2 linked regions of the Arabidopsis thaliana genome follow. The protein of the gene in region 2 purifies or fractionates together with the protein of the main gene of each other region. This does not show direct contact. Each region holds a gene or a part of one and is shown on either strand. Other genes may lie near its edges.

The links.
Region 1: the proteins of PBS2 (region 2) and CR88 purify together in Arabidopsis thaliana (affinity purification with western blotting, with the first as the bait; one study listed by BioGRID). This does not show direct contact.

Annotation. Positions count from the first base shown.
Region 1 is NC_003071.7:1,279,077-1,288,429, forward strand, and holds CR88 (Chaperone protein htpG family protein), read left to right. Parts: upstream 1-2,677; 5' UTR 2,678-2,906; coding exon 2,907-3,158; intron 3,159-3,266; coding exon 3,267-3,340; intron 3,341-3,425; coding exon 3,426-3,551; intron 3,552-3,641; coding exon 3,642-3,735; intron 3,736-3,825; coding exon 3,826-3,909; intron 3,910-3,996; coding exon 3,997-4,140; intron 4,141-4,222; coding exon 4,223-4,339; intron 4,340-4,421; coding exon 4,422-4,457; intron 4,458-4,570; coding exon 4,571-4,651; intron 4,652-4,728; coding exon 4,729-4,833; intron 4,834-4,928; coding exon 4,929-5,069; intron 5,070-5,160; coding exon 5,161-5,253; intron 5,254-5,342; coding exon 5,343-5,420; intron 5,421-5,498; coding exon 5,499-5,753; intron 5,754-5,835; coding exon 5,836-5,938; intron 5,939-6,019; coding exon 6,020-6,194; intron 6,195-6,289; coding exon 6,290-6,395; intron 6,396-6,475; coding exon 6,476-6,565; intron 6,566-6,644; coding exon 6,645-6,833; 3' UTR 6,834-7,068; and 1 more. UniProt on the Arabidopsis thaliana protein: Molecular chaperone required for chloroplast biogenesis. Essential for chloroplast biogenesis and maintenance, and thus for embryogenesis. May be involved in the disassembly of VIPP1 for thylakoid membrane formation and/or maintenance.
Region 2 is NC_003076.8:20,998,899-21,006,440, forward strand, and holds PBS2 (cysteine and histidine-rich domain-containing protein RAR1), read right to left. Parts: upstream 4,389-7,542; 5' UTR 4,246-4,388; coding exon 4,138-4,245; exon of another isoform or gene 3,427-4,137; coding exon 3,424-3,426; intron 3,325-3,423; coding exon 3,242-3,324; intron 3,143-3,241; coding exon 2,988-3,142; intron 2,893-2,987; coding exon 2,663-2,892; intron 2,577-2,662; coding exon 2,475-2,576; 3' UTR 2,246-2,474; downstream 1-2,245. Other genes in the region: ACS12 (1-amino-cyclopropane-1-carboxylate synthase 12), read right to left, coding at 117-966, 1,075-1,235, 1,491-1,625, 1,718-2,059; KEA5 (K+ efflux antiporter 5), read right to left, coding at 5,668-5,718, 5,845-5,940, 6,042-6,086, 6,183-6,260, 6,358-6,546, 6,642-6,737, 6,971-7,024, 7,130-7,226 and 2 more.

The DNA.
Region 1 (9,353 bases), on a different chromosome or scaffold from region 2:
TTAGTTACCTTTTTTTCTCTGACAAAATGAACTTTATAAACAATACATAATTCATCTCTCTTAAATTTCCAAAATCTAAGAGATCCGTTTTATTCTAAACTTTGATTTATAATTTAAGAGATTTAAAGTTTGATCAATTTTTTTTTGTTGCGTCTAAAAATCTCTAAACATCGAAGGATGGAGACTGAATTGTGGTCCGTTAAAAATTGGTATTTGTAAACAAGAAAACAACATTACGTAAATTGTAATTCATAAATTTGCGTGCTTTGTGCTTGTCTACCTCCACACCGGCTTACGATGAACCACACTCTTTTTAATATTCAAGACTTCTATATAATCATTATATCGTATATTCATATATATATATATATATATATTATATAAATAAATATTCTTTTCTGTTTTCTGTGTTACTAACTTTTATTATATAGAGAGAGATATTCAATTATACCCAATACAAGCCTATATAATTATCAAAATTAAGTGGTTTTTTATTTACCAATTTGAATTCTCTAGATATCTTACATACGAGGATGTGCTTTTAGTCAAATGGACTTAACCATTTGATTCCGCCTTCTCCACCGGAATTCGATTTCACTAAGTTGCGTTATCCCGCAATCCCGCATAGTAGGGATTGAGTATTGATCGGGTCTTGTCGATACAAAGATGTAAAAAAAAAAATTTTACATAGTCTTTTTTTTCTGTTCTTATTCTTTTTTTTGGGGGTAAATATCTGTTATTGAACATTATAATTCAAACACTTCCAAAACTTTTTTTACCTTGTTCTGATATTGATGCAGCGTATCTTGAAGACAAATGCTCCTCCGGTATTCATCACGTCCGAGGAGATTGTTTATTGCTTTACTTTTGGGTTTAGTTTCATATGGACTTAATTAATGTATATTTGGGCTTTGAATATTTGATATTAGTTTGCTTATTCTTTAGGCTAGGGTTTCCATTCTTTTTCTCTTATTTTAAGAGATGTAATTCATTATTGTAATTAGTTTTTGATTATTGAATAAACGAGTTTTAAGAGAGCTTGTCTAAAGCCTAGAGAGGAGGACTCTCAACCCTAAAAGCTTGTGTTCAAGCCCTGCAAGGAGGATTTGCAAAACCTCATCGATATCGTTATCGATCTCGACCTTATCTCTATTGCTTCTTCATCAAGTTTCGGCGTTCTAAACAAAATCCGTTCGTTAATCCGAGTTCTCATAGAGATTTTGTGTTTTCGTCCGTTATTTAGCTTCCGCTCTCCATCAGATATTACTTTTGTTCAGTAGACCATTCATAAATACCTGCCTTGGATCCAAAAATAGGACAAATAAACATCATTTGCATCATTTTATTATTCTTAAAAGAAATTGCAAATTTTTGACCAAATTGCAAATATTTTGTTTTTAGGTTATACCCAATACCCACATACTGTATTATAGTCGTAATAAAAAAAGGAAAAGTTGCAAAATAAGTAGAGGACAGTGAGAAGTTGGTAACTATATATGTTTTGGTTAATTTAGTTATGGGTATGGAGTCTATAACGTATGGTTTCGATATTTCCAATAATTAGCAATCGTGTATCTTCGTTAGCATCAACATTGTTGTATTTTATTTAGTGCACACCTTCTCATAATTTCTAAATCAATAAAATTTTAATATCATTTTATCTTGGTATATGTCACTATGTATGTGGTTATTTTTATGCTTCCATGTTTTTATTTTTTTTGCCATGGAACCATTAGCTTAGGTTGAAAATCATCGATTGTAAACCTATCATGTTTTCATTTTTATGAAATATTAGGTGATCATCCGCGCTACACCACGGTTTTTTCGGATGTTTTTGTATTGTTTAATTTAAATATAATTTTTATTTATCTTATCATTTACTCATGCAATAAGCAATTACATTTAGTATTAAAATATTTTTTTCTAACCACATTCTCAACAATGCATCATACACATAATTTCTAAACAATGTTTATCTTAAACCAATTTAACAGAGGGTAGTGTTGGATTCTATAAACCTAAGAATTTAATGATGGAGCTCCTTACATATTCTTCACCCTCAGTTATTTATTATATAAATATCAATTTAAGAGAATATAAACATCAATTTAAGAGAATATAAACATCAATTTAAGAGAATAACTTAGTTAAATTATTAAGTAATATACTCATACTTTGAGTTTGGATTACCATAAAAATCTTCGAGTATGAGAAAACTATTAAAATGATTTTATTAAAAAATCATGTGATATTAAAATAAATTTAGTAAAAGTACAATTAAATATGTATAATAAAATAATATGTAAAATTAAATATAAATATATCATTAAACTATAGATTTGAAATTGAAGAGATTACATTAATTATTTAATAAACACATGTCAAATGCTAAAGTGATGATGTGTCTATCATATGAAGAGAGTTGGCCAACTTTCATATATATAATTTACGAAAAAAAAAAAAAAAAACAAATATTCAAGATCTCTTTCTTGATATGGGCCAATTTGATACGAAACATTTTCCAGCCATAACCTTTCGTTTTACTTTATACGGGCTATAGGCCCATTATGGGTTAACGTGTAGGCCCAATAAGGTGTTTTTTCAATTTGGTTTGCATTTGGTGTGTGTGTGTGTGTCAGCTACAATTTCTCAAGGAGAGGCGCGTGTAAATCAAACGGATAATCCTACGGTTTTGATGAAATGGCTTCTCGTAGACCTCACAATCTCTAAACATCTCTTCTCTTTATACGCTCTTCTTCTAGAAACCTCTCTTACCTCACTCTCCTTAAACCTTTAATAGGGTTTTTAGGTTACTCTTTGTTCAACTACTACAAACTCTTTTCTCTTTAGAGATTGAGAGATTGTAAAAAAATCTCAAATCTTTTCCTTCACAACTTTCAAATCTAATGGCTCCTGCTTTGAGTAGAAGTCTCTACACATCTCCTTTGACTTCAGTTCCAATCACTCCTGTCTCTTCTCGTCTCTCTCATCTGAGAAGCTCGTTTCTCCCACACGGCGGCGCTTTAAGAACCGGCGTTTCGTGTAGCTGGAATCTCGAAAAGAGATGTAACCGATTCGCCGTGAAGTGTGACGCCGCCGTGGCGGAGAAAGAGACCACTGAAGAAGGGTCAGGTGAGAAGTTTGAGTACCAAGCTGAGGTGGGTTCTCTTTCATATCTCCTAAAGTTTCAATCTTGTTTTCTGGGTATCTCTCAACTTGATGGGGATATAAAGTTTTAAGATTTGATTGTTGAAATCTTATCACAGGTTAGTAGATTGTTGGATTTGATTGTTCATAGCTTATACAGTCACAAGGAGGTGTTTCTCAGGGAGCTTGTAAGGTGAGTCAATTTTGATGGATTGTTTTGGAAATGATTTGTGTGTTTCTGTCAAAATCTGATTTTGAATGTGTCTGTGTATGTTCAGTAATGCAAGTGATGCTTTGGATAAGCTGAGGTTCTTGAGTGTAACAGAGCCTTCTTTGCTTGGAGATGGTGGAGATCTTGAGATTAGGATTAAGCCTGATCCTGATAACGGCACCATCACCATAACGTATGAGAGACTTCTCATTTTTTGTTTTACTTAAGTATTGAAAATTGAATAGAACAGGTTTACTTAGAGAGGTTTGATGCGTATATGCAGTGATACTGGTATTGGAATGACAAAGGAAGAACTTATTGATTGCCTTGGAACTATTGCTCAAAGTGGTACTTCGAAATTCTTGAAGGCTCTAAAGGTTTTTTTTCCATCTCTTTGAAAACCTGTTGCTAGCAAATCTTTGATGTCATGTTTTCGGACTCATTGTTTTATTGCTCTCTTTATTCAGGAAAACAAGGACCTTGGTGCTGACAACGGTTTGATCGGACAGTTTGGTGTTGGGTTTTACTCTGCTTTCTTAGTTGCTGAGAAGGTGAAGACTTTCAACTTTTGTTTTTTAGTGTCTTCTGGTTAATGTATTTCTTACGAGGAATGGACGTACAATTGTCTTTGCTTTCAGGTTGTTGTGTCCACCAAAAGCCCCAAATCTGACAAGCAATATGTTTGGGAATCGGTTGCCGATAGTAGCTCGTATCTGATCAGAGAAGAAACAGACCCTGATAACATTCTACGTCGTGGAACACAAATCACCTTGTATCTGAGGGTACTTTTCTTTATTCATTCATCCTTTCATTTGATGCGTCAGATCTCTTATAGTTTGTTTGACTGCTTATTCCTGGCTGCAGGAGGATGATAAATACGAATTTGCGGAGTCTACAAGGATCAAGAACCTCGTGAAGAATTACTCTCAGTTCGTTGGGTTTCCTATCTATACATGGCAGGAGAAATCAAGGACTATAGAGGTGAGGATGAAAGTTTTGTTTTTGTAATCATATTAGTGTATTCACATTGCTAATATGGTTTAAAATTTGTAACTTGTGGTAGGTCGAAGAGGACGAACCAGTTAAGGAAGGAGAAGAGGTAAAAAAATTATGTTGTTTTAATTGTGTGTATCAACTATCAAACAGTCACAACCAAAAGACTGTTCTAGAATTTTGTTTACTGAGTTGATTTTGTTACTTGTTTGTTTCCAGGGTGAGCCAAAGAAAAAGAAGACCACTAAAACTGAGAAGTATTGGGATTGGGAACTAGCCAACGAGACCAAACCGCTATGGGTAAGCCTTGGAGCTTTAGCCTGCGTTTTGTACTTTTCTTTCAACATGTTTACTGATTATTTTGTGTCTTTGAATAGATGCGCAATTCGAAGGAAGTGGAAAAAGGAGAGTACAATGAGTTCTACAAAAAGGCTTTCAATGAGTTCTTGGATCCACTTGCTCACACACACTTCACAACTGAGGTCTTTATACTTATACACTATACACTATATTTATGTCAATTTATGAATTCTTCAATTGGTGCTTACTAGTCTCTGTATTGTCTTGATTATTAAAGGGTGAGGTTGAGTTCAGGAGCATTTTGTACATCCCTGGGATGGGTCCTCTTAACAATGAAGATGTTACAAACCCGAAAACAAAGAACATTCGTCTCTACGTGAAGCGTGTGTTTATCTCTGACGATTTTGATGGAGAGCTTGTGAGTCTTTTATGGGTTCTTTCTTATGTAGAAATCTCTTTAGATTTGTGGTTCAATTTTTATCTGACTATGTTACCTAATCTGTTTGCAGTTCCCGAGATATCTGAGCTTTGTGAAGGGAGTTGTGGACTCTGATGATCTTCCTCTTAATGTTTCTCGTGAAATTCTCCAAGAAAGCAGAATTGTGAGTGGTGCAACTGTTAGTGATACAAATGTTTATCATATATGAATATCACAAATTGTAACTGTACTATCTTTCGTGATAATGTTCAGGTAAGAATCATGAGAAAGAGGCTCATTAGAAAAACCTTTGACATGATACAAGAAATCTCTGAGAGTGAAAACAAAGAGGTAGGTATCTCATTATCCTAATTTTGTTTTGAGCTCATTTGAAAGCCAGGGATATTCATGTTGTACAAACAATTCTAGGATTACAAGAAATTCTGGGAGAACTTTGGTAGATTCCTTAAATTGGGTTGTATTGAAGACACCGGTAACCACAAGCGTATCACACCGCTACTTAGATTCTTCAGTTCCAAGAATGAAGAGGAATTGACAAGCTTGGATGATTATATCGAGAACATGGGAGAGAACCAAAAGGCGATCTACTACCTCGCAACTGATAGTCTTAAAAGTGCCAAGTCTGCCCCTTTCTTGGAGAAACTAATCCAAAAAGATATCGAGGTATATGCTTCAAGACTTGTTTTTCAACTTCGAGTTTCTGTTTAGATTTGACTTTCTCACCACTTGCTTTTGTTAATTATAGGTTCTATATTTGGTTGAACCAATCGATGAAGTTGCTATTCAGAATTTGCAAACCTACAAAGAAAAGAAATTCGTTGATATCAGTAAAGAAGATTTGGAACTCGGTAAGTATGGTTTAGCACTGCTGACTGCCCGCACATTTCTCTCAACCATTTGTTTGTAACAAAACGTGTCCATTCTCGCAGGAGATGAAGATGAAGTAAAGGACAGGGAAGCGAAACAAGAGTTTAACCTTCTCTGTGACTGGATAAAACAGCAGCTCGGTGACAAAGTTGCAAAAGTCCAAGTCTCAAACCGTTTGAGCTCTTCTCCTTGTGTGCTTGTCTCTGGCAAATTCGGGTGGTCAGCTAATATGGAAAGGTTAGTACTTCAGCAAAAGCTTTATAACCTGAAATCCACATACCATAAAACTTATGTGCTTGTTCATTGACTTATGTGCTTATTCATTGTGAAAGGCTAATGAAGGCACAGGCTCTTGGAGACACTTCAAGCCTGGAGTTCATGAGAGGTAGGAGAATACTAGAGATCAATCCAGATCATCCCATCATCAAAGACTTGAACGTAAGTGTGTGGTATAATATTCTCTCAGAAATCTCTTGTCTCGAAAAAGCCTTATTAATTTTTGTATTCTTTTGGTACAGGCTGCTTGTAAGAATGCACCAGAGAGCACTGAAGCAACAAGAGTGGTCGATCTCTTGTATGACACTGCTATAATATCAAGTGGATTCACTGTAAGAAATCTGAAACCTTTCTTGTTTCCCAGTAAAAGTCTTGGACCATTTTACTCACTTATATGTGTTTGTTGTACAGCCTGATAGCCCGGCCGAGCTCGGGAACAAGATATATGAGATGATGGCAATGGCGGTTGGAGGAAGATGGGGCAGAGTTGAAGAAGAAGAAGAAAGCTCGACTGTGAATGAAGGAGATGACAAAAGCGGAGAAACAGAGGTAGTTGAACCATCTGAAGTGAGGGCAGAGAGTGATCCTTGGCAAGATTGATCCTTTTTTACCTTCTTTTGTTTGCAGTGATTTTTTTTTGACAGAACGCTTTATCTTTCCATTAGCAGTATCATGGGCCTAATGAAAGCCCATAATTAAATCACGCGTGAACGAGATTTATCCAATACAGTATTTGTAGTTTTTTTTTGATAATTAAAATAATTTTAGAGAATTTACACAAAAAAAGCTTTTAACAAAAATATTTACGAATATTTGAAAAATATTTGCATTTGAGTTGTATTAAATATTCTGAATTTACATCCTCTTATTATTAAAAAGAAAATACAAATTGAAAAATAGTCTAATCTGCCATCAATTTTCAATTTTGGATTTTGTACATTATTAATCAAAATCGTCTATGGTAATTTGGTCATCACTCTATATTCCTTAAATACACTATATTTCAAATTTAAATAATATTTCTTAAACACACTATATTCAATACTTATCACCTATTTATTGTTTTTTCAAAGATTTAAAAAAACTAAATATAAAAAATCAATCTAAAATAAACCAAAAATATAGTTATTAATTTTACATATTTTTTATTAAAAATATTATGTTGGCAAACAATATTAAGAGCTCGCGAATTAATTAGTGGAGCGGATTAGAATTTACAATAATTCATAATTATGCATATGGAATAAATTATATTTAAAAATCAATATTCGATATATCAAAATATGGTACAATCACACATTTTCCGGATATTATTTAAACTAATAATCTTAACGGTCCATTAAAACTTTCCAAATCAAAATGATTTCCAAATCAATCATTTGATGGAAAATTTCTTGGTCAAAATTTAAATCAAATACCGACCTGCAATAATGGGTTAGAATTTGTATTTATTTGATAGAGAATGAGTAAAATGGAATTGTTAATGACCTTGGACATATCTAAATTTATAATTACAATACTAATTTGGACGTAACACGAGTTAAACTAAATTATATAATTCTAATACTATTTTGACAACTGTACAAATAAAAAAATCTCCCGCGGTAAACCGCAAGTTTAATCCTAGTATTATTTATTTGGTAATACTTTAGTAGAGCAATTCTGATTTTTACTTGTTTGATGTATAGAAAATGTATAAATATAAGAAAATTCTGGTTACATAAATTTTGGATTTTTATAATGTTGGAACAATCGTTAACCAAACAATTAGAAAAAAAACTAATTAATTTCCGTTGAGATAATTATACTTTCATAAAATAAAAAGGAAATTAAGAAAAAAAAGAAACTTTACTTTTCCTAATAGTAAAATTGTAACACTGTAAAACCATCAAAATCCTATTAGAAAAATAAATTACCTAACTCGCATCCTCTATAAATACAGTAGAAACTCTATAAATTAATAATGTTGGGACCATAAAATTTAATTAATTTATAGTGATATTAATTTATCCTATAAATTAATATTTATTAATTTATAGGATAAAATAATAAATATTAATTTATAGAAATATTTACGTAAAATACAATACTAAAGTCTTTTAAAAATGTTTATTAATTTAGTTTTTCTTATGTTTTGTTGTTTGTATATTCAATTCTGTTAAAAAAATTATTTTTCTCTTGACTTTTTAATTTATTTTTCTACAATATATTGTGTCCGTATATTTACGACGTTAACGTGAGGCTTAATCCAAATTTTCTTTATCCAAATCTTACCAATGATTAAAAAATGTTACAAAACCAAATATGACGGATAAAATGCGCAAAGAGTTACGTGAGTACAAAAGAGATCATACCAACGGTACTCTAAAGAGAGTTGTAATTGTGACTTGAATAAAAGTTTCATATAAAATTAGTGTTAGAATCTATGCTTAGATTTATGATTATTAATTTATGATATTATTGGGACCATATTTTTACATAGGGATTTTTAAAAAATTATCATCTTATTATCTTATCGATTTTGGTTAATTTTTACACGATAAATTATCCATCAGAGCAAATGGGGAAGGCCAAAAATCACAAACAATCCAAAACTTACCGCAGCACTAGTACTAGAGCAGCCACATCAATCATATCCCTAACAGAGGTATAGATTCATGTTAAAATGCATGGGAAATCTCACTGATGCGAAAGAAACAATCTCGACAGACATCCTCCAAACACACGAATCATCACGAGGTGAAACTATAGATAAACAAGAGACCTAGAGTATTACTACAAACATATATAAGTAGAAACGAGAAGAGTCTTGTTAGTTAAGAGGGATTCACCTTCAGGATGGTATATTGGATTCTGGCCCGGGACAAGTCATCTCTATTGTGGTACCATTTTATGGAGAGCTGATTCGATATTAAGATAAATGGAATCAAGATTGGCACTTCTAGTTCTAAGGATTGGATAATCCTCCAAGTTCGAGAAGACAACTGTCTCATCTTCTTGACATATCAATAAATGCTGGCGCAGTAAAGTCCACACCAGAGTCCATTGTCCATATAAGAATGTCATTGAACATTCTCATAGCGGGATTTTTGCCTCGGGAAGGAAGTATATTCTTGCCTT
Region 2 (7,542 bases):
AGGACAAGGAATTCATATCGTTTATTTCTTTCTTCTCTTTCAAGCTATAACGACTTGCCAAAATAATGTCTACCAATAAGTAACAATACCACACTAACCAAAATTCTGGTTCGACCTCAAGATCTAAATGATTCAGCAAGCTGTCTGATTCGTTCCATAATCACTGGGATATCTTCATCAGCTAAAGCGGTGAAACAGCACCTGAACCAACCTGGTTCTATACAATAACAGGCTGTTCCTGGAGTGGCATTAATCTTAGCAACAGTCAATAGCTTCTCAAATAACTCGAGTTCTCCTTTCTCACTGTAAGATGTCAGTAAACTGCTCATGTCTACCCAACAATACAACCCACCACCACTCTCAGCACATGGTATTCCTAATTGTTTCAAACCTTCCACAAACCGAATATGCTTATCCCGGATCCTTTGCCTGTGTGCTGCCATGTATCCCTCAATGAATCTTACATCAGATAGTAGAGAGATAAGTATCCTTTGAACTAGAACTGGCACTGATGAAAATCTCATCAGCTTCTTTGCAGCATTTACTACGTCTTCATGAAAGGAGTAGATGACTCCAGCTCTAAAACCAGGAATTGAAAGGTCTTTTGACAAGCCATATATGATATGAACCCTAGTCTTATCAAATTCCCCTGAGCCAGCGATCTCAGCCATGCTAACAAACTCTTTGTCCCCGTAAACAGAACCCGCAAATATTTCATCAGAAATAACATGGATGTTCTTCTCTTGAGCAAATCTCAAAATATCACAAAGCGTCTCCCTTGATAGTATGTTTCCAACAGGATTTGACGGGTTTGAAAAGAGGATGCCAGAAACCTTGCTTCCTCGTTTTCTAGCCTGATTCAAAGCTTGTTCCAGTGCGGAAACCGTTACAGTAAAATTGTCAGAGCTACGGCAGTGTACTGGTATAAGCTCCACTCCTGTCCGGAATTTAATATCCCTATCAAAGCTGCAAAATGAAGTTTCCTTAGTACATCGCATAGGAAGAGAAGACTGGTGTATAAATCAAAAAGTTTCACCACATACTAATGGTCGAGAAGTGTAAACTAAAAATTACCCTGGATAATATGGCGTCGGAATTAGAAAAGCATTTCCATGATCAGCCAAACAGAAGGCCAATACTTCAATAGCAGGAGTCCCACCGGCTGTTATAACCATATTTGAGGGATCAAATGACACATTACCTCCCATTATTCGTGACATGAAATCAGCAAAAGCCTGAAACATGATAGGAATAGAAGAAATTCAATTTCCTTCGCTACATTGTTGGGACAACTAAATCCACAAGTTTGAATACACAAATTTCTGATATATAATCAACATTCCTTTGATCCTATACAAGAACATATATCAATCAAACCACTTCTAATTTCTGATACACGTTTGCAGTCAAATATTTAACTAATAACTGCAAAAAGCTATCCTTCCTCAAAAAATTTGAAGAATAAAAAAGTGAATGGTGTATGCACTTACCACTCTGAGTTCAAGTAATCCTTCAAAAGGTTTATACATGGCGATACTACTAATATCAAATTCACCATCATCAGATTGCATCATTGACTCCATCAAATTCTCTGACATCCATCTCTGTAGCAAGTCAAAGCACAGCTACAGAACTCACAAAAGCAATCCCCATCAGATTAAACCTCATCGCAACAATCACAAAGAGAAGAAATCATCGAGAACTTTTAAAATCTCACCGTACTCTCGGCTAATCCAAGCTGAATAATCCCATCCGTGTTCGTAATCCGATCGTACGGATCCGTTTTGACTCTCTCCAACCCAATGTAATAAGGCGAATCGGAAGGTTTAGCTACAGGAACTGCTCGGGAGGAGACTCGAACTCGTCCGATCGAGTTCCCGCGAGAGAAGAGATTAGTCCGTGAAAAAGTTCTCGGTAAGTCCGTCGGGTCGGAGGGAGGAGGACGGCGTCGTTTAAGGTAGAGCTGGAGAAAGTAGAAGAGACAACAAGGAATGAGAGAGCCGACGAAGAGACCACCACGGCCTTGAATTACTCCACGGAGAGGTACTATCAACCTCATCGGAAAATGCTCCGCCGCGGAGATAGTTGTTGCCTCCGGCGTTGAAGAGAGATTCGAGCCGTTCGTTGAGAGTAACGAAGTTGAAAAAGAGTCGAATAAATACAAAAGTTTTGAGATAAATTGGCAAATTATTTTTCCATATTCGCAATTTGTCTCTACGTTTTAAAAGTTGCTAAATAGTCCTTCTAATATTGGTGAAATTATTTAAAGATCTTCAAAGTTTTGAAAACAACAATCAAAGCCATAATCATGATCCAAAACACAGAAGATGAGCATTTAACCATTACATATATCTGTCAACTGAAAGGTTCTATAACAAATCTAAAATAGAATTCCATATGATAAGAAGAACATGAAAACACAATTAGAAAAGATGATTAATCTTTGAATCGAAAATCTCAGGAAAAAAAATATATCAGACCGCCGGATCAGGGCTGCTGCTATGCCATCCTTTAGTGCAAGGAGGTATTTCCATGAACTCGTCGAACTCCTTCACGTGAACATCGCAACATTTCCACTACACAAAGAAAACAGTGATATTCAATAGAAATTCAAACAGTGAAAGAAAAGGGTCACAAAATGATTGAACAAAGAACGTGTTACCCCTCTCAGTCTGTCGTGGAAGACCGCAGGACCTGGATGATGGCTACATGCAGTCTCATGATTGTCTCTCTCTTTGAATGTTTGGCCACATCCTTTGTTTTTGCAGACTTGCGGTTGATTAATGTCTATCACAGCCTTTTGTACTGGAGGCGCTAAGGGTTCAATTTTTTCTTCTTCTGCTTGTCCCGGTGTGTTCAGGGTCTGCTTGATCTGTTCTTTGGGTTGGGATCCTGTGTGGTAAAGAAGGACACAAAATTAGATAGAAGGTCATGCATGTAACCAATGTGCAACGAGAATTTAAAGACGAGAGAATAAAGATACAAACCATGGTCTGAGCAGAAGAAGCCTTGCCGGCATCTGGAGCAAGAGTCTTTTGTTGCTGCATTGGCATCTGGAGATGAAGTAGGAGCCGCAACAGGATGTTTTGGAACCGATTTGGCCAGAACTGGTTTCTCAGTTGTGTGTTTACCTGTTTTACATCTTCATTGCAAGAAACATCTTCAGTGTTTGCAATCAACTACAATATGTACCATGAAAGACAGAGGAATTATTATGAGGGGGTACAAGGATATTAGTTACCCTGGAATTTCCAAGAACAAACTGAAATCATGACTTCTTTGCTTGCAGCAGCTCCACTCTTTCATTCCGTCGTGAAAAAATGGCTGCAAGTTTGAACTTTGGTAGCTTTAATTCTCTGAGCAAGCGAGTGTGAAACAAAAAAAAAAACATAAAACAGTATTTGAAGAGTAAATTTGACTTACTCCCTGCTTGAACAAAAACCAGTAGTCAGTGCAAAGACCAGCCCCAGCCACACCGGAAAAAGAAAAGATAATAAAAGAAGATGAATTACAATAAAAAGCTCAAAGCAATAGATGAATATGAAAGAAACACTAGTATACAAGGCCAAATGTTAAGATGAATATTGAGATAAAGCCTTCTTTCTATACACAATTGTTCTAATTACACTTCCAGGGACAGTCTTAACGAGCTCTCTCCCTCACATAGCCATAACCGGTGGCAAAAGTTGGAAGCAAACAATTCAAAAGTCGCTGCATGTACGTACACTCTCCCTCACATAGCCATAAACGGTGGCAAAAGATCTAATACTTGGATTATTCAATTTTACGCAATATACTTTTGCTTTCTTCCATCAAGTGTTCTAATAAGCTCACAGTCTCACAGAATTCATAGGTTGCAAGCAAACAACTTAGTTAAAATTTGACAATTAGACAATCAAAGCTGTGTTCAAAGCTTACTTACTTACAACTAAATGAAATCTACATGTAATCAATCAGCTAATCCAAAACCTAATTAAACACTTGCGTAATCATCTTCTCATGATCAAAAATCGAAATTCGTAACCTCACATCATAAAATCAAATTCAAAAGCTACTCTATGGGTTTATCAGAAACTATCGAAGACTTAGAAAAGAAAGAGAAGAATCGATTAAAGATGGGGAGAGAAGAAGACGTACGGAAGCATGAAATTGACAAGAACCTTGAGGATTGTCGTCATCGGTGAACATGGCGTTGCAGCCAATACGTTGGCACTGAAGCTTCTTCGTTGCAGATCCTACTTCCATTATCTCTCTCGTGAATTTGTGAAGAAATCGGACGAATTGAGAAGGTAGGAGTAAAAAGTATTGGGAAATCAAATTAAAGGGCTTTTTCGTCTTTTAGAAAATTTTGACTTTTGAGTTTTGACCGGTAATGAAAACTGATGAGTAAAACGGGCCTCGGCCCAAATAATACCATGCAGAGCGGGCTTGGTCCGCTTGGACATTATTTTCATGTCCATAAAATAGCATGCGTGATGGATAATAAGCCAATATGTTACAGATTACAGGTTTTTAAAGAGTTTTATCCACGGATTTGTAGGTCTAACCCACAAGAGGAAAAATATGTTGAATGATGGGAGTGTTATTTTATAGACCTAAGCAAGTGATTTAAATGTCGGACCTATTTTGATGTTTTTGCAAAGTTTGTGCAAAACTAATCTTAATTATTTTGTTTTTCTATTTGTATATATTTCCGTCTCCAAGTTTGCTTGTATGGCCTATCCCCAAACTTCATCTACTACGTGGAAAGCCATGACTCCGGAAAATTCAATCTCCGTAATGGTGATAAGAATGGTAGATTTGCTATTTAACCAGCTGATACAGGAAACTCAACAATCTCACAAATGAAATCGAACTATAGATTGAAACGATGTTCATAAAACGCAGATTCACTTCTCACTATGCAAAAATCTCACATTAAGATTTGCCCGTAAATAAATAATATTAGTGAATTGAAGGAAGTATCTCAAACTAACAATGAGTAACAACCCCAAACACACAAGAAAGGAAGAAGAAGAAAAGTTTACAATTCTCAGATTTTTGCATAATGAAGAAGACGATGAACAACTTGATCTTAAGCTTGAGCAACTTCAGCTCATACCAATCGAATCCACGTATCTTTTCTTATTTCAACCAATCACTAAGCTCCACGTGTCCTCATATATGTGCTACTAAATTCCTATTTCACCAGCCTCTTACTTCATTCCACCTCAATCCTTTTCTATACTTTGATGTCATTGTTCTTCTAAGGAGGGTTCTTTTTTGTTATTTTTGTTGTGCATTGCAATGGATTTATACCTCTAAATTCATCTAGTTGTTGCTCGCACTTTAGATATGTGGAGTTTGAGCACACAATTATAGAACTCTGTGGTTTCTATTGAGATTCTTATTTGTGATGAACATTAAAGAAACAACAGCATATAAGGCTAATATCGTTACAACGTTTACACCAAGTAAAACAAGCTATAAGCGCTTGAACTACACAAGAAGGTAGTGAATACTAAATATATACGATATTACAAAAAATAAAGAGTTAAGAAAATACAAAAAGCAAGTCTTGGATCTGATTTGGTCAGTTTCAAATGTTTTTTCTGCCTCCTAGTTGAGTATATCGGATCAAAATCTGTTTTTTCTTCTTAAATCTTCAGTCAATGTACAAAAGAGAGATCACTTGGTTCTGTTATGTACTTCTATCAATGATGCTTTCTCCTGCAAACTCTACAAACAAAACTCTCAGTCACGACCTCACAAGTCAGTTTCCTATAATCAATACATCTATTTTCATTTTTATGTCATGTCTTATCTCAGTTCTTAAATATAAATAGATCTGGAAAAGAGAATGACCTCGTTCGGAGAACTGTTCTCAGAAGGGAACCATCGAAGCAGGACACCGAGGTTCATTGCACTCGGTATTAACTTGAATAGCAACGGAGTCGTTACCTGTAACAGCATTTTCAGGTAATCAGTTTTGAACTAAATATTATTTTAAGTATGTTCTCTTAGAATGGAAAAGGCTTGTTTGCATATATTAGGTAACTTACGAGACTTAGAGCAGTTGTGCCCAAAAGGAGTAGATACATTTTCCCCTACATTGGTCATTCATATTAATCCCAAAGCCACAAAGTTTAGGAAGAAGAAAATGGTAAAGAGTGTGTTCAACTACAAGGGTAAAAGGGTGTTACCTCGATTACGTGTAGGTTTGACGCTCGGCTTAGAAGAACAAAGGCGAACTCTCCAATCTGAGCAAGCAGTACCCCGACCTATATATAACATTTGTGACAAGAAATTTACGTGATTGGTTTTAATAGTATAATATGTAGAAACTCACAAAAGCTTAAGTAGAGAGACCAAACTCACATGGAAAGATATCCTCATGTTGTACCTAAAAGCCTTAACAACTACTGCTGCAATTGCTGTCTTAATAACTATCACTAGAATCACCGACGCTAGAAGGATATCCACGTGGTTCCATAGAAAGTGAACATTAATGAGCATCCCGATACTAGATAGAAAGAGAGCGGCAAACAGATTACGAATTGGTTCCACCTACATCACAAAGTAAGGGAGATTCCACCACCTTAAGACTTCATTTTGTACCACGTACTCGCAAAGCAAAAGCGACCTGAGTTTAGAATCAATACCTGCTCTAGTGTATGTTGAGCAAATTCAGTCGTAGACAACATAACGCCAGCCACAAATGATCCCAACTCAAGACTAAGACCCAGCTTGTCACTGCACTGAAAAAGTTTTGCGAGGAACCAACACTCTAAGTTAAAAATTGGAAATTACATCAATATGCTATTATACTTAAATACTTCAGTGTCTATTGTAATCATCATTTTTTTCTTCTGTAGTCTATTAGTAAGATGCAAGCTCAGGTAACAATTAACTCAGATGTTATAATACACCAAAAGGGATCAGAAAGCTAAGCAAGCACCAGTATGCAAAGAAATGACAGAATTAGACTTACCCATGCAGATAGTAAGCAGAATGCCACAGCAGCTAACTGGTAAAGTTCATTTGTCTGCATTATATAATGAGAGACATTGGCAATAATTTGGATCCCACTTTAAGAAAGAAATAAAGATAGACAAGTAGTGTATATGAAGATATGACGTCTAAAACGTACTTGAGATGATAATTGAATCATTAGCTTCAGAAAACGAGGTACAAATGACCACGTTAATAGAGATGCCACAGTGAGATATATGGACAATATCAGTAGCCTAAATTAGAAGAAGAAAATGTTTTATGTCAGAGACGGTAATGAGGATATATAAGAGGTTCCTGGACAAACTTCTTACTAGGGAACCACTTACAGCTTTCCCATTGATATAATTCCTTGTAGTAAACCACTGTTACCACCCAAAACTGGAAGCAAGGCGAATAGTAAACCAACAACACAGTCCTGAAAATTCAAGATTAAGCTAAAGGAAACAAAAATTTCGTAAAACGAAATATTCAATTTGTAAATATAGAGTGATGTGAGTGAAACCTGAAAGATAAGTATCCCTATAGTAACTTGACCATGAAGAGAACTTG